Nothobranchius furzeri: one gene and its partners. The main gene of each other region encodes a partner of the protein of the gene in region 2 in a complex. Links are inferred from orthologs where the notes say so. Each region holds a gene or a part of one and is shown on either strand. Other genes may lie near its edges.

The links. Proteins that work in one complex are often made in the same cells at the same time.
Region 1: chchd6a (region 2) and MICOS complex subunit MIC26 share a complex: the UniProt entries of both Homo sapiens proteins name them as parts of the mitochondrial contact site and cristae organizing system (MICOS) complex. The link is inferred for Nothobranchius furzeri from reciprocal best matches to the Homo sapiens genes CHCHD6 and APOO.
Region 3: chchd6a (region 2) and micos13 share a complex: the UniProt entries of both Homo sapiens proteins name them as parts of the mitochondrial contact site and cristae organizing system (MICOS) complex. The link is inferred for Nothobranchius furzeri from reciprocal best matches to the Homo sapiens genes CHCHD6 and MICOS13.

The regions. Positions count from the first base shown.
Region 1 is NC_091751.1:40,246,210-40,251,702, forward strand, and holds MICOS complex subunit MIC26, read right to left. Parts: upstream 3,300-5,493; 5' UTR 3,102-3,299; coding exon 2,487-3,101; 3' UTR 2,086-2,486; downstream 1-2,085. Other genes in the region: eif3f (eukaryotic translation initiation factor 3 subunit F), read left to right, coding at 698-777, 966-1,103, 1,179-1,270, 1,352-1,488, 1,629-1,742, 1,871-1,948; dnaaf6 (dynein axonemal assembly factor 6), read left to right, coding at 3,496-3,585, 3,702-3,765, 3,848-3,950, 4,149-4,245, 4,340-4,425, 5,199-5,328. UniProt on the Homo sapiens protein: Component of the MICOS complex, a large protein complex of the mitochondrial inner membrane that plays crucial roles in the maintenance of crista junctions, inner membrane architecture, and formation of contact sites to the outer membrane.
Region 2 is NC_091755.1:50,941,476-50,947,480, forward strand, and holds part of chchd6a (MICOS complex subunit mic25a), read right to left. Parts: intron 1,296-6,005; coding exon 1,160-1,295; intron 1-1,159. UniProt on the Homo sapiens protein: Component of the MICOS complex, a large protein complex of the mitochondrial inner membrane that plays crucial roles in the maintenance of crista junctions, inner membrane architecture, and formation of contact sites to the outer membrane.
Region 3 is NC_091748.1:50,416,743-50,422,465, reverse strand, and holds micos13 (MICOS complex subunit MIC13), read left to right. Parts: upstream 1-2,095; 5' UTR 2,096-2,226; coding exon 2,227-2,255; intron 2,256-2,628; coding exon 2,629-2,785; intron 2,786-2,961; coding exon 2,962-3,019; intron 3,020-3,220; coding exon 3,221-3,318; 3' UTR 3,319-3,638; downstream 3,639-5,723. Other genes in the region: hsd11b1la (hydroxysteroid 11-beta-dehydrogenase 1-like protein), read right to left, coding at 1,658-1,811; spindlin-1, read right to left, coding at 5,239-5,444. UniProt on the Homo sapiens protein: Component of the MICOS complex, a large protein complex of the mitochondrial inner membrane that plays crucial roles in the maintenance of crista junctions, inner membrane architecture, and formation of contact sites to the outer membrane.

The DNA of each region.
Region 1 (5,493 bases), on a different chromosome or scaffold from region 2:
AAGGGTTGATTTGGGGGTGACTTGCTCTGGAGGTATCTCAGGGTCTTGTTCTCTAGTGAGGGAAAGTTGGAGCGCGAGATCGACAGGCAGATATGTGCTGCACCTGCAGTGCTGCAGGCGTTGTACTAATCTGTCGTGGTGAAGAGAGCTTCGCCATCTGGCTCAGCTCTCGAATTATCGGTCAATCTACGTTCCTACCCTCACCTATGCTCACGAGCTTTGGGTTGTGACCGAAAGAACGAGATCGCAGATACAAGCGGTCAAAAAGAGTTTTCTCTGCAGGGTGGCTGGGCCCTCCCTTAGAGACAGGGTGAGAAGCTTGGTCATCCAGGAGGGGCTCAGAGTAGATTCGCTGCTCCTTCCCATTGAGAGGAGCCAGTTGAGGTGGCTCAGGCATCTGATTAGGATGCCTCCTGGACTCCTCCCTGGTGAGGTTTTCCAGGCACGTCCAACCGGGAGGAGACCTAAAGGTAGACCCAGGACACGGTGGAGGGACTATGTCTCTCGCCTGGCCAGGGAGCGCCTTGGGATTCCCCCGGAGGAGCTGGCCCAAGTGGCCGGGGAGGGGGAAGTCTGAACCTCTCGACTTAGGCTGCTGCCCCCACGACCCGACTCTGGATAAGTTGAAGAAAATGGAATAACATTCTTTCCAAAGGCTGTTGAGTAAAGATTTGGTCATTATTTTCTCTGATGGCAGGTTGCTGTGGACATGGAGTTTGCCAAGAACATGTATGAGCTTCACAAGAGGGTGTCACCCACTGAGGTCATCATTGGATGGTATGTCCGCTGCTTATATATATATATATATATATATATATATATATATATATATATATATATATATATATATATATATATATATATATATATATATATATATATATATATATATATATATATATATATATATATATTTTATATTAAAGAGAAGCCAAATTCTTGAACAAATGCACTCTTCCTGACAGGTATGCCACAGGGTTCGACATCACTGAACACTCTGTTCTCATCCACGAGTACTACAGCCGTGAGGCCACCAACCCCATTCACCTGACAGTGGACACGGCGCTGCAAAGCGGCAAAATGAACATCCGCGCTTACGTCAGGTCATCTGAGCTTCCTGTCCATGAATCTTTTAATGTGATCAACAGTGAGAGTGACCCTGTGTGTGTGTCTTTTAGTGCCCAGATGGGTGTACCAGGAAAAACAGTTGGTGTTATGTTCACCCCACTGACTGTCAAGTACATCCACTATGACACAGAGAGGATAGGAAGTAAGAGTGCCGAGAATAAATAAAATAACGGCCTCGTTTTAGTAGATTTTAACCGTACTTCATACTCCGTGTGTGTTCCAGTGGATCTGTTACAGAGGACACGTTTGGCTACCACACGTACCAAGGGCCTGACCTCTGACCTGTCTCAGGTGGGTGGTGCTGCAGCCAGGATACAGGACATGCTGACCACTGTTCTCGCATACATCGAGGACGTACTGGTGAGTGAACTTTAAAAATAAACTATTATTTACACCTTTATACTAATTAATTTAGTGTTTTAAGTCATTGTAGAAAACGTTTAGTTGGTGTTGATTAAAACGCTGATCATGGCTGTAAGATTAAGGTTGGTTTGTCTCAGTCAGGAAAAGTGACAGCAGATAACAGCGTGGGCCGCTTCCTCATGGACCTGGTCAACAAGGTGCCGACCATCTCAGCTGAGGACTTTGAGAACATGCTTAATTCCAACATCAACGTAAGAGATCCTCAACTGTACTGACTTCAGTTAGACCTTGCATTTGCCTTACCTCTATTGTCCCTTTGCATTACTGTAAATATGTTGCTTATTCTGGTGTAATCATGTAAATACTGTCATTGCTGCAGGACCTGCTGATGGTGACCTACCTGTCCAACCTGACCCAAGCACAGATTGCCCTAAACGAGAAGCTGGTGCTGCTCTGAGGACATTTCTGTAGATCATATTTAATTTTTTTTTTTAATTTTGGCCGAGAGAAATAAAGATGTTACCAGTCATTTATTTGTTTTCATTGGCACTGCCTTAGGTGAGTTTGTGACAACAAAACATGCAAAATGGGAACTAGTATTCAAAAGAATGATCATTTATTCATTTAAAACATGTTGCTTGTTTTACAGCTCATGGTTTTGGGATTTCCAAGATGTAGTTTAACTTATCAAAAACAATCATAAGTCAGGTTCCTATTACAGAACCAGAACAGCTTTCGTTTTCTTTGGTCTCTACTCAAACTTCACAAAGCAAACCAGAAAAATGTGTTAAAACCTGATTTTTAATCAAAGCCCCACAGATTCATTTTTTACTTAAATATACAATCAGAGGTTAATTATTCAAGTAGCAGGTCCAGTATGTGACAGGGCATGGCCGGCCTGAGTAACAGCAAAGTGCAGAGAGGGACTCTAACCCTAGCCCTAAAGCCAGTCCTGTCACCACCAGGCTGGTATTGCTGAGCAGCTGAACATAAGCCTACGGGTTGCGTTTAGATTTGTCCCCGTTTGCATCCTTGCTTTGAGGGTTTTTCAGGATCTTCTCTAGCGCAGCGTAGCTCCGCACCGCGCTGTCGTAGACGGAGTCTCCGGTTGACTTTGCGATGGCTGCCGCCTGCTCTGGGTAGTAAAGGGAGGCGCTTACGGCCATGAAACCCGCCGGGTAGAGGAGCTTCTTCACCCTGGAGCCTCTGGCCAGAAACAAGCCGAGCATTCCGGCAAAGCCGATGATTCCCGCCCGAGGATAGAAGTCCTTCGGAGGTTTCTGCAGACAAGCGTAGGCGTCACTCCCGAACTGGACGACCTTCTGAACTTTGGGTTTAATTTTGTCGAAGGTGCCCGAACACCAAGCCGAGTATGGCTCTGCTAGCTTCCTGAAGGTGGCGACACGCTCCTCCAGCTGCCCGGCTTCGGGCTCCGCATACCGACGGTTCTGCTGAGGAGCCGCGTACAGAGACAGTTCGTCCAGGCTCAACGGCGCCGTTGTCTCCTTTTCTCCGCCACCGGCAGCCCCAGCAGCAAAAACGGTGAAAGGTGGCAGTTGAGGCGCTCCCGGCATGGCTCTCTGTCTGTCACCTTGAACAAGGCCATGCATTCACTACGGCAACTGCGGAGGGGCATTACACGTGACGCCTTCTTGAGAAATTTGACGAACCGCGAAACTTTCAAATGTAACATCAGGTATATACATAAAATGAAATTATTCAATTGGGAAAATTATAGCCAACATTAAATAGCATTTTTACGCAGCTGTAGTCACAATAGCAAATACAGGATATAGAAATCCCCATCTCCCCGTTTCTTGAAGTGTCTGGTGGTTGCCAGGGCAACCGGATAGCCTCGTCGCCAGAAACCGTCAACACTGACCTCTCAAACGTCCGTTTAGCCGGTTATAAGCTGAAGTTCTAAACTAAGTTTGTTATATAAGCATTTGCATTTGTAGATGTTGTGGTTTGAGGTGTTTTTTTGAAAGGATTTAAGCTTTCCCAATGGCGTATCTTGGAGGATCATCTGCGCAGGACCTACTGGCTCTGTCTGCACTGTTATCCAAACAGGAGGAGGAAGATGAAAACTATAAAGTAAAAGTTTAAAATTCACAACCGTTTTGTAGTAATTCATACCGACTGTACTAACTGCCTGCATAATTCTTATATTTAGATTTGAGCTAAAATACTAGAAATTATATTTTCACCAGAATGCGGATGCCTGTGCACAGCTTGGCCCTGGACACATCGGACCTCCGCCAAAAACAGATGAAGGTGAGTTGTTTACTTGTAGTTCTCTACATTTATTCTGAATTATAGCAGTACACAAACTATTTCAGCCTGTTTTGCTGTTTAGCTTCAAGTTCCAACATGAAGAACTGCAAAGCAATCTGGAGTGAAGAAGAGGTGGCTGAGGGGGCCCATTATGATGATGTGGTAGATCCACGGCCTCAACCAGAGTAAGACAATAGTAATAGTTGGATAGGGAGGGTGGGTGAAGCATTTTTCTAACACACAATGGCAGAGTGGCTGGGATAAAGCTGGGGTTGAACCTGGTCTACCTCCTGGACCACCGAATTTAAAGAAGGCAGGCCCTTTCTTCATTTGATGGGACATTTTGAGAACAAGAAAGGCAGTTTTGTTATGTCTGTGTGCAGATATGAAATTATCCTGAAGCAGAATGTGGGAACCGAGGACCTGTTCTTAGGATTAAGCAGGAAGAATCCATCGTCCATGTGCTGTGAGGCAATGCAGGTATGTCATCAAACTTCTATTTGACAGAAGAAATCAAAATGCACAAAGGCTATGACATTCAGTTTCTTCATAAATACTTTTCTCCCACATTCAGGTGAAAATCAAACTACCAGACACTAAAGCAACAGATGTCTTTTTAGATCTTAAAGAAACGTTTCTTGATCTGCGAACACCAAAATAGTAAGAGATCATTTGAAAATGTTCACTTTCATTTTCCGGTGACTGAGCAGCTGCAGTTCAGTCTTGAAGCTCCCCTGTCTAGGTATTTGATTAAAGGTGTGAAACACTGAAATTTTTTTAATCTTATTTCTGATTATAACTCTAAGATTTTCATGCAGGCTGAACATAAAAATAGTCTCCTACACCAATCTCCTGCTTTAGCTTCTGATAGAAAACAGTTGAAATGACTAGAAAATCCTGACAGCTCTACGTCACACGGTCACTTATCATTGACGCACTCGCATATCTTGTCTTATGACGGGGAAGGCTGTTGTTGGTTCAACACCCAGGAAACAGCAGAGAACGTCTTGGCTAGTAGAAGCTAACTGTTAGCATGAGCAACTACACCACACAGCAGAAGCTCCTCCAGGCTTTTGTTATCAGATAAAACATCAGCATTGGAGTCAGTGGTAGAGTCGCTTTGCTGTTATCCAATAGGTGAGCTGTCCAGATATCAGGAAGGGTCCAAATCCTACTGTCTGAAGCTCAGCTGTGATGTAACTCACCTCTACTTCCTAAAATTGGTGCACCTGAGGATTTCTTCCCCAGAGCACAACTTACAAGGCGTTCATTTCTACTAAACACCACTGCAAATTTAAATGAGTGCTCCACACCTTTAAGTTTTCAGTACCATTTCATTCAGCTGTTGACATTTTGCTTTTTGTGCCTTCTTCATTAATTCAACATTTCATCCAGCTGTATTTTTTTTATCCCATCTTTTCTCTTTTTTTCAGCAAACTGGGCCTCCATCTGCCCCATCCCATCCACAGTCAAGAGGGAAAGGCCCAGTTCTTTAGTGAAAAGCAGGAACTGAAGGTGACACTGCTGATGAAGCGACCCACGGACTTCATCAACATGCAGTGACAAACAACAACAATGATTCAAGAATTCAGAGAAACACAAACGTAACACAAAATACACTGTATCCTACCTACACAATGAAAAGAAAAACGAATGATCAAAGTAAATCTTTTCTGTGAACATATTTAGAGTATGTTTGGAGCAATTGTCCTCTTTTATGATGAGAAA
Region 2 (6,005 bases):
AAAAACCCCGGCTACGTGTGGACTAGGCCTGAATCTTGCTTTTTGTTCTTAAGGTAACTTCACTGTCAGCTCATTAGTTTTAAAGAAGTAGTTTTTTTTAGCAGTGATACATAATAGTAAAAGATCACTGAAGCCTGAAGAACAAAGAGTTAAGACAAAAAAAAGACTTGAGAGTAAAAGTGACTTTTAAGAGTTCTATGACTTATTTGAAAGGAAACAAACACAAAACAAGCATGACTTTCCAGAGCTTAATAATGACACACGGAAGTAAATATGAGAAGCAAATCAGACAAAAAAACAATTACACTAATCTGCTGCTGCGAAAACGGACAGTGACTAAAAGTTGAGCCAATAGATGCAGATTTAATAGATTAAACGTAATAAAATATAAATTAAACTGGATTTAGAAATACACTTTCTAACATGATCTTCTTTAAGTGACCACAGCCTGGAGCCAAACTGTTTAAATTAACACAAATAAAGAAATGAAAATTGCAATGCTCCTACATTCCAGTTTTAGATTTTCTTCTGTTACACATATCCACTGCATTGCTGAGGAAAATATTCGGAAAAACATCGAATGACACCATCTGGGAAAACATCTTGCTTTAAACTCATCGTTATCTTGAGTGATCATATTTTCTGTTCATCCCACGCTTTAATTTTTTGTCAAACACAACCTAAAATTAGCCCCAACACCCGTCTGTAGAGACGAGGTGAACTTATTTTAAAGCAACCACACTGTTGTCAGTTTAAAGTCGTGGGGAAACAACTCAAGTCGAGTGGAAGAACTTAAGTTTTTGAACTTAGACTTTCGCTCTGAAATCTGTTTTCAATAACAGGATTTCTGTGTGTAAAAACCTTGAGACGCAACACTCAAAATCCTAGCAATTATAACTTTTTACCGCCTTGTGCCCCTTAACGTCGACACAAAAAAAGAACACAAAGGGTATGTGCTGCTCTAAATCAGAACACCTCCACTAGAAAGTGTGGTTCTTTGACTATATAAAAAGGCACTTTCATTTAGTTTTTAAACTTTTGGTTCCAAGATAATCTAGTTAGAAGCAAATGGTGTTCATTTAATGTAAATTCAAGGCTTCAATGATGGGGAGATGTTATCTGAATGATCAGGTTCTTACAGATACCTAAAGTCTCTTACCTTCTTTGCAGCATGTATACACTGCATGTACTCCTTAGCCAGGTCTGAGCACCTTAGAGTCTGCTCCTTGTTGTCCTTGTAGCAGGATAAAATCTGAGCCTGGAGGCCAGAACACACTGGAGTTGTGTTGCGAGACCTGCAAAAAGAAACAACAAACACCCAGAGAAAGATTCGTGAACATGAAGACAACAAAAATCCTGTTTTCCGTATATTTTCCCTGACAGTAAAACATGAAGTACTTCAAGAATAAAACTTGAAGCATCACTCCACGATTCTTACACCAGTTTCATTTTGAAACGGATTTGCCCTAGACCCTGCAGAAATGATTCTATGATTACGGCATGGCTGCATGTGGGGAAATCAGTCGGAAGATTTCATTTGCCTGATCAGTCCTGTACTGTAGAAACTATTAGATACTAGGGATGAGCAAGTACACCACTATCTGTATCTGTTCATTAGAGGTGCTGAAAAAAAAGTCGATTCAAGTCTGAATCGGGATTCTTATTTATAAACATTCAGAATCGATTCACAAAGGTTCCGAATCGATTTCAAGAACTCAAATATTTGGCATGTTACAGGTTTGAGATCTACAGATTTGTTATATTTTACAAGATAAGCAAAAATAAATGTTGCCTTTTGGTCAAAAGATTGCTTCTGTTTACAGTTTTAGAATCACTTTATTTTACATTGTAAATTTGCATTTTTGGAGCATGACCAGTGTCCCATAGCTTTAACTAACTTGTACAACAAAGTAGTTAATCCTGGAGTTGACACTCTTTGTTAATACTGACTGTGAATCGATTTAAATTGAGAATCGAGAACCAATTCTGAATCGAATCAGCACCCCAAGAATCAGAATCAAATCAAATCGTGAGTTGCTCTAACCCCCAAATTCCACTACCTCCGCTCCGCCACGAACTCCGCAGCAAAATCGGTCCCGTTGTAGTCAATCAGAGCTATTCCACTACTGCAGCCGTGCTGCGGCAGTGCGCCGCCCTCTGTTCCGGCGTCCGGCAAAAATAGAATCGATCCTATTTTTGCCGGACGCCGGAGCACCTCCGCAGTCAATGGACAGGAATCACAACCGCCCAACAGGAAAGGGAGCAAGCACAACTTCCGTTATTTAACAATAAATCGATAAACAAAAAGTGTTTTTTGATTCATATGCACAGGTTTAACAACTTTTAACAACTATCAGTGGCGGTTGAACTTTAAATGCACAAAAGTAAGCTATGAATACAGTTTCCACTATCAAAGTAGACACACTTTGTTGATCCAAACACTGCTGATCTCTCAACACAAATGATGGGCAGATTAAACAGCTCATGCAGATGCTTCTCCCACACAACAGGTGTTTGGATCTAACTTCCGCGTTTACTGCTCGGACTGTATCGCAGGATCTCGAAAATCCTGCGCATGCTTGTTTGCGCACCTCAGGTCTCCACAATGGAGCGGAGCCGTTGTAGAGCGGGTACCAGTAAAAATTGAGTTCGGAAGCGAGCGGCTGCGGAAGGTGGGGAGCGGAGGTAGTGGAATTTGGGGGTAAGATTCACATCCCTACTGTTCAACCATCTAAATTATCTGTATCTGTACTCGGAGTGGGCGTGGCCTAACCCGGAAGTGGGTGTGGTTTACATCTATACATTATTTTAAGTCTGACATTGATATGGAATGATCAAAAGTTGCTATGTGTATTGTTTATTTGAAAACTATTTACAGAGCAGCCTCAGAATTCAGATTAAATATTTTTTATCACAATAGTAAAGGAACTGTTACAGAACAAGTTTTTCAATTAAATTAGAACATTAATATTTAAATGCATGAATTAATACATAAAGAGAGAGACAGACAGACAGACAGACAGACACAGAGAGAGAGAGAGAGAGAGAGAGAGAGAGAGAGAGAGAGAGAGAGAGAGAGAGAGAGAGAAACCCGAGTGGAGGCAGTGAGCGATTCAGCACGAGCCGTTTTCAGCTCTGTCTTGTCAAATGCACCACGTACGTTACGAAAAAGTAACTTTAAATATTAAACCGAAAAAGAGGTGAGCTGAAGAAAACCTAAGGAGTTCTGAAGAAACGTGAGCAACAGAGATGCAAGCACAGAGAGATCCGTTACCATCTGTGTGTGTGTGTGTGTGGATGCATGGGCCGGACTGGGGCTGCAGAGTTTTGTGTGTAGGGAGGGGCAGGCGCCCTATATGACTGGCCAATCACAGAGCGTGAAGACGGTCAGTTACCCAATGGGGATTTTCCTTCAGCACAATTATAGATATTTATATTAGATACTCAATGGCCATACGCCTGGTGTTTAAAATCTGTGTGATTTGGGATTATAAATAGTCACTTCAGTGCGTTAAGTTTACATGACTGTTCAATTGCATTGTTTTGTCAAAACAAAATGGTAAATGGTAAATGGCCTGTATTTGATATAGCGCCTTCTAGAGTCCTGGAACCCCCCAAGGCGCTTTACAACACAATCAGTCATTCACCCATTCACACAAACATTCACACACTGATGGTGATGAGCTACGATGTAGCCACAGCTGCCCTGGGGCGCACTGACAGAGGCGAGGCTGCCGAGCACTGGCGCCACCGGTCCCTCCGACCACCACCAGCAGGCAACGTGGGTTAAGTGTCTTGCCCAAGGACACAACGACAGAGAGAGACTGAGCGGGGCTCGAACCTGCAACCTTCCGGTTACGGGGCGAGCGCTTAACTCCTGTGCCACCGTCGCCCAATCAGCTGTGCTTGGTGGACAAATTTTATAATGGACATCATTGTGCCTATTTAGGGTGGGCTTCAGATCCCCCGAAAAATTACCCCAAGGCAGTAATTCTCATCGTGTCACAAACTATATCTATAAGGTTCAGGTGCGCACTTAAAAATTTCTACAAACTCTAATTATAACACATCCTTTTCAGTGGCGTGTCCAGATCTTTGAAAATGGGGTGGCCCAGGTGAGGCACTACTTTGTACATGGGTGGCACCAATGGTTATGCTTATTTCATTTTTTTGTTTTACCCCAAGCCTTTTGTGAACAATGAAAAGCCAATTTAAAGTGAATTCAGTGTGGTGGCCCCTGGGGTGGCCAATCAGATTCCAAGGGTGGCATTTGCTACCCCAGGCCACCCCCTGGACACTCCCCTGATTCTTTTGGCTGTCAGTACGTGCCAGTTCCATTCCACAACCCTGCGGGCTAAGCCCCCGTTGTCTTTCCATGCTACTGACATTCCTGGGTTTTATATTTTATGGTAAGTAACCTGTTTTTGTATAGCACCTTCTTAGGGTTCTACAACCCCCCCAAGGGTCATGCACCCATTCACACACACATTCACACACTGGTTAATATATTTAGATTTAATTTTAAACATTTGTTCAGAGTCTCTCGAAGTCCGTTGTAGAACATTTTAGATCTTTATATGAAAAGGCACAAAGGAAATCGTGTTGCAGATCAAGCTAAACTGCACCAGAACAAGAGACATCAGGTATCATGGAGAAACTTCAAGTATCGGGACAAACACAACATTTCATAATTGATTCTGTATTTTTGATCTCTGATTTTATCCTGGACCCATATTATTTTGATATGTTTTTTAATGTATTGGTACATTTATTCCTAATAGTTGAGGCTTTTGTCAAACAGATGTTTTAATTGTTTTATTTATTATTTTCATTTGACACTTTATGAAGCGTGGTGGGTTTTAGTTAATTATAGTTGTTTTTTTTGTTTGAAGTTTATTTCCTGATACCTGATGCTTTTTGAAATAATTTATTTTACGATAAATTATTTGTTTCTGATTTGTGAAGTTTTTTTTCTTCCTAATACTTGATACAGGCAGGTTAAGCGTCTTGCCCAAGGACACAACAGCAGCCCTTTCTGGTTGGAGCTGGGATGGAACCTGCAACCTTACGATCACGTGACTGGCTGTGTTGATGCTTTCTTCTTGAAGAAATTAAGCATTTTTCCACCTAAATTTGACCTAGGGATGTTCTAAAATGCACACAGTGGCTTTAGCCCAAACACCAAGAGTTGTTTAATTGTTTCTGCAGTTAAAGACTTCACACCTGGTTCTGTTTAGTAATTCATTTCTTGCATTGTTTTTCAGGTACAGTATAAAAAACAATCTTACGTAGAACAATAGAAAACGCATAAAGAGAGTATGATAAATCAAGTTACAATTCCACTAATGGGCACCTGTTTAACGAGTGGGATGTGTGGTACGTGCTTCACTGTAAATCCTACAATTAAAACTAAATCACACTTAATTGAGTGTGTAGGATCGTTCTGATCAAATACAGCAGAAAAGTGAGCTTTGAGGGATTGAATTGGCTGTGCTTAATTTGATATGTGGGCTGTATTACAATTTCTTTGCCTGTCGGTCTTTGTGAGCATTAAGTGTGACAGGTTTGCTGCTTCGGCGCCTCGCTGAAATAGATTCTGACTGATTGAAGCGGAGACAAGCAAGTTAGGTACGCCTACGCAGGTACAGACTGGTGTAACACCTCTGTATTTACCAATTATGATGATGGACCAGTAGGTTCGGACATAGGAGCACAGTGGTGTGTTTTAGTCAGACTCAAAAACCAGAAGATGATTTTTTCTAAACAACCCAAATTTTACTAACTGAATTGAGTAGTTAAAAACACAGTTTAACAATAATGAAAAGAAAAAAAAACACTCAATACACCAAAAAACATTTAACATACGATATTCTAATCACTTGGCCAAAGTGTACATCCTTTTAAATCTCTTGGGTGCACCCTGTTGACCTGTATCCTGTTTCTTAAAATCAGGTTACGTAATTTCAATTCCACAGGGAGTCCTAACATACCGTAAATCCTCTAAT
Region 3 (5,723 bases), on a different chromosome or scaffold from region 2:
CCAGACTGCTGAAGGCACAGCCTTTTTATCCAGATGTTGGTCATCAGAAGGATTCAGCTCAGCTGTGCTCCTCAGCAGCCTGGAAGAGAGGAGGGGGGGGGGGGGTCGGTGTCGGGCTGATCACCGGGGCTGGGTGATCCTGGCTCCTCCAACTGAAGAGGCCAGGCAGGTGGCCATAACACTTAACAATAACATAGTGCATCCTTGTGGTGGATGTTTTATTTAGTCACATGCAGAAAGCTGGTTTTCACAAATTATTCGCTCATTTTATGCTTCAACTCCCAAATGTGCTCAAAAGTCATGAAACATTTGCTATAATTTTACACAATGATACTTCTGTTTAGCGTTGAGTAAAGGGGAAGCAGGGGTTCATCACCAAAGAAATCCATCTTAATATTTGTATAACATGTTTTGTACTTTATATTACACAAGAGTTTCTGGTCTGACCATTTCTGACATTTGATCACACATGTATAGGTGTTGAACCTGTATCTTTTGAACTGTTATCTGAATTTCAAATTCAGATAACAGTATATATATATATATATATATATATATATATATATATATATATATATATATATATATATATATATATATACATATATAGTGTCCTAGTGCAGTGATGCGGGCATTGTACTGGTCTGTTGTGGTGAAGAGAGAGCTGAGCTGGAAGGCAAAGCTCTCAATTAATCAGGCGATCTAAGTTCCTATCCTCACCTATGGTCAGGAGCTTTGGGTAGGGACCGAAAGAACAAGATCGCAAATACAAGCGGTTGAAATTCGTTTTCTCAACAAGGTGGCTGGGCTCTCCCTTAGAGGTTAGAAGCTCGGTTATCCGGGAGGGGCTTGGAGTAGACCCACTGCTCCTCCACATCGAGAGGAGCCAGTTGAGGTGGCTTGGCATCTGGTCAGAATGCCTCCTGGATGCCTCCCTGGTGAGATTTTCCAGTCACGTCCAACTGGGAGGAGATCTAAAGGGAATACCCAGGACACATTGGAAGGACTATGTCTCTTGGCTGGCCAAGGAACACCTTGGGATTCCCCTGGAGCAGCTGGCCCAAGTAGCTGGGAAGAGGGAAGTCTGGGCCTCTCGGCTTAGGCTGGTTCCCCCGCGATCCGACCACGGATAAGCGGTTGAAAATTGATGTATGGATGTATTTGAATCCCATCCACCAGTCTTCCTGGGGCTTAATGTACCCTGTGCACTGTGGGAGGGTTCAAGACTAGATTTTGTAGTCTAAATAATATATTCATTTGGATATACAATAGGTTAGGTAATAGGAGAAATACATTTAGATGTTTAATGTATCCCTCCAGATGGTCAGACAAGAACATATTTGCTTGTCCAAACAGAATTAAACCGTAATTGTCCAAAAAAGTTCCAAACAAGATATTTTAATCCTTATATTGTGTTAAATATTCCTAGTTTCTGTAACCTCACTTTAGGTTAACATTAGGAGAAACTAATTACCTATGTAGAAAATGTTTACAGTTCTTGTGAACACATAACATGCATTAAAAAAGACATTACTGCACTCTGAAGTTGGTTAAAAAATGCCCCCCCCCCCCCCCCCCCAAAAAAAAACCCACACCAAACATTACTGGTTTTAAAATCCACACCAAATGACGTTTTTACAATTATTCTTAAATTTACCTGGATCAAAACTTGGCGCAGTCCATTTGACAGCAAAATAAGCTACAGAAATGCTCCCTATCAGGATTTTTGCAAATGGTCCCATGTGTGTAAACTCGCTATAAGTCTCAGAAAACTTCCTAGCTGTGTTATAAAAGTCTGCCTTCACTTTCATGATGTGAAGGAGGTGCCATTTATGTAACATCCCCCCTCTCTCTCTCACTCACTCACTCACTCTCTCTATTTTGCGCTTCTCCCGAGATCAAATTATAACATATTTAAATATGTAACATTTCTTATAGTAACTTAAAAAGAACATTTATATTTAACCTGCACACCATTTTTATTTTCATTTTGCTTACATACAATTTTACAAAAGGAATAAAGTGGGATAGAAAAGAACGAATCTGCCGCTGAGAAAAAAGCGTTGGGGTTTCAAAAAACAACTTTATTGACAAAAACAGAGCTAACGCTGCAATGTCCTTCAGTGCAGCCCTATGTCGATGGTGCAGCCTAGCGGTGAAGTTAGATTCGCTGTTTGGAGTCTTGGTAAAAACAGCTTATAAAGAGAAGTTACACAGCTGTGGACCATGGCGGCAAGGATTTTGCCTTTACTCAAGTTCGTATATTTTAATTCACTGTTAAGTTTCGTTTAAGTTTTAGTGGTAAGTGACCTGAATGCTTGATTAGCTTGTGAGCTAGCATGCTACGGCATTTATCCGTTTACTGTATTGAGATTTCAAGCTGTTATTTTCCGATACTTTACTAACTAAATTGTCGCCGAGGATCCAATCAAATATTGCTTCATATGCGATTTTTCATGAATGTTTTGTTGAGTTGCTGATATTGCTTGATCAACGCAGAATTTAAGATCTCCCTGCTTTATTACTTAATAAGCAATGTTTTAATTTTAAGGTGGTGCTTTTGAGTGTGGTAAATGTTACGTGGCTGGGTGGTTTTGGCTTACGGTGTGGCTGATCTTTCATTTGCAGACTGGCCACCAAGGTGACCATTGCAGGAGGCGCTGTTTACGTCGCCTGTGACTCGGGTCTGCTGGGAACCAGCGAACAGGGCTCAGAGGCTCTGGAGAAGGCCAGAGCTGCTATACCACCCGCCATCGAGGAATGGATGAAGTATTTTGGTCTGGAGGTAGAGATGAAATTACACTTTTAGGCGATCACACACATTTTGACATGTTTAAACTGTAGAAACTGAATTCCAGCTACAGCCTCTGCACAAGACTTTGTGGGCGATGCATCATATGTGAAATTAAGCCTTATGTTTAATTGTGTACATCATTTTTTTCTTCTTTCCTCTGTTCCTAGGCTCAGGTTCCAGCCATACCTAAAATTGAAATTTCCCCTGTTGAAGCATGGAATTCTGGTAAGAACCTAGTAAGAATAAGAATACCTTTATTAGTCCCTCAGAGGGTTAATTGCAATATTGCAATGGCTCAGGTACAGCAGGACTTTTTCTTTAATAAAGTGAATTTACCAACAAAAACCTTAGAATATTATCCAGTTTCAGTGATCATTTCATTTGGAATCAAGTATTCTTTAACAACAGTTATTTCTTCTATCACAGGGGTGCGGTGGACAATTTCAAGCCTCTCAGAGGCTCCAACTAAAGCATCTGAATACGCAAGTCAGGGAGTGCAGTACGCAAAAGACCTCATCAAATGAACAAGAACTTTCTGAGTAACCTCATTTATCTATTCACTTGACTTTTGCACTTGTAAATCCTTAAGTCGTCCCCTTTCCTGAACAAAACAGCTTATTTAAATTCAGCTGCAAAAGAGATCTCGGCTGTTTTGTTGAGAGTTGTTGGAAGGATACTGTACATAAAGCAGAACTTTGGTTTATTTCAGTTGTCCAGTAGAGTTGGATACCACCCAGATGTCAAACTGTCCAAAATAATGTAAAAAAAAGTTAATTTCTGCTGTGTGTGTGTATGTATGTATGCGTGCAATCTCACTATTTGCAATAAAATCATTCTGAAAACATTCTCAGGCTTGTTTGGTTTATTTAGTTAAACTTAATTTACAGTGTGCTGATTATAGCTGTGTTCAAAGTGAAGAACCAAACTAATGTGCAAAAATGTTTATTACAACAGAATATTATGACATGGGCAGTCAGTCTGCTACAATTTTGGAACAAGGAGCGAAAATGGAAGCATGAAGTATTTTTGACAAAAGCACAACTAGCAATGACGCTCAGTGTTAACCTTTGTTTTGAATGCATGTACAGAATTGTTTCTAGCACATCAAACATTTTCAAAACCTTCAGGCACTGTTAAGGTGATAAAATAACATAAACAAAATGTTTTCTCAAAGATGCAATAAATTAAAAGATTGTGAGGTCAACACACATTTAGCATCAACTGGAAAAAGAGCTTTTTGTAAGACAACTTACTACAAATTTGTTAGCTCATCAGATTGTGAAAATACATTTAGTTCTTAATTATAGGTGTCTTAATGATTTGTTCACAAGAGACTCAGATTTTAGGGAGAAATTTTTCTAAATGAAAATAGTCACAAGCAACATTATTGGGATTTAAACAAATTTTTACAGATTAAATATAATCTGAATGTATTGCAGCACTGTCTTTGTTTCCTTCATGCACATCACTTAAAGCATATTTCTGCCACTTTTGTCCTTTTGGAACATCCAGTGGAAACTAAGACTGTACAACAACCTAGCTATGTAAACTTTATACAATAAAGTGCTGCCCACAACATCGACAGTGACATTACACAGGCATTATGATCCATTTGAAGAACATGTTCAACATAAAGGGGAGAACCATGCTGCTGTTGAAAACTGATGCTTGCAGAACTGTCCTAAATGAAAACTAGATGGCAGCCTTCAGTTGCAGCAATAAAGAGAAATTGTATTTACAATATTGCCAAATTGACAAGCCTAAAGGCACTTTTTGAATTGTGTGTATTCAAATACTAAATTAGTTACTAAATAGCAAGCACAATAGTGCTATTAACTTTAACATTCAGAAAGACTTAAACTTTTCTTAACAGTCTCCTTAAGAAAAGCGACTTTTGATTCATATACTAAATTATGTGGCCAACCAGGTAAAGTTGTAGTGCTAAATGTGGTGCAAAGATGCAGATCGTTGGCATCTGACTTTAAAGAGGTCTGATTAAAGTGATCTTGTGAGGCTGTTTTCTTAAACCCTTTCTAGTGCTAACAATAAATTAAAGCTTTTATTCCAAACACTTTGTGTTTTAGCTTATTGACTTTTTGAAGAATTTCCATGAAAGGTGCCATCAGAGGGCATTCTGTGCTGCTTCTGTAGCTGACTGGATTTAGTTACGAGAAACTTTAAAAACTGATCAATGAAAACAACGCTGATGCGACGACTACCCACTCAATAGCTGTGAAACAATAAAGTGTTACAGGTTTTAGAACAAGTAGGCTCACCCATTTCAATGAGAATATCAGAGCAGTGCTACAGTTTCACTGTGCATTTAAACAAAAACGGCACCGACATGAACAATAAAGCTACTATTCAACCCTGCCATGGCTCTGAGTAACAGAATTAAACCAACGGAACAGCAGCGGGTGGTGGACAAAAAGAGTCCACAATGTTTAGGTGGTCTTGACCAGGTCATAGACATGAATATGAAAGTCATCGTCGTATTTGATATAGTAAACCGAGGGCTTCGCTGGGACCTGGTAGATGACCAGACCGGTTCTCTTCACACCCTTGTCGGTAACATACTCTACTTGTTTCCCCACCAGGCTCTCGGTCTCTTCTCCAGGCTTCCTGTCTGCAGGCAACAGGTGCTTGTTCTCTGGAAAGGAGAGAGGGTTGTTACCTGTACTGTAATCACCTGAGGCACTCGAGATCTTTGAGACAAAAATAGTGCAAGGTGATCTATATGCCACACAGAAACTCAAAATGGTGGTTGATCTTGAAAAATCTACTCAGTCTTTAGCTTTTATTTAGTTTTCAGTACAAAGGCATTTAGCTTTTAGCTTACAGCACACTAGGAAACACAACGAAGCAGTAAGTGGGGCAAATATACCGGACCGTGCTGTTGGAAAAGGCTGCCAAACCCGAGTCATGACGA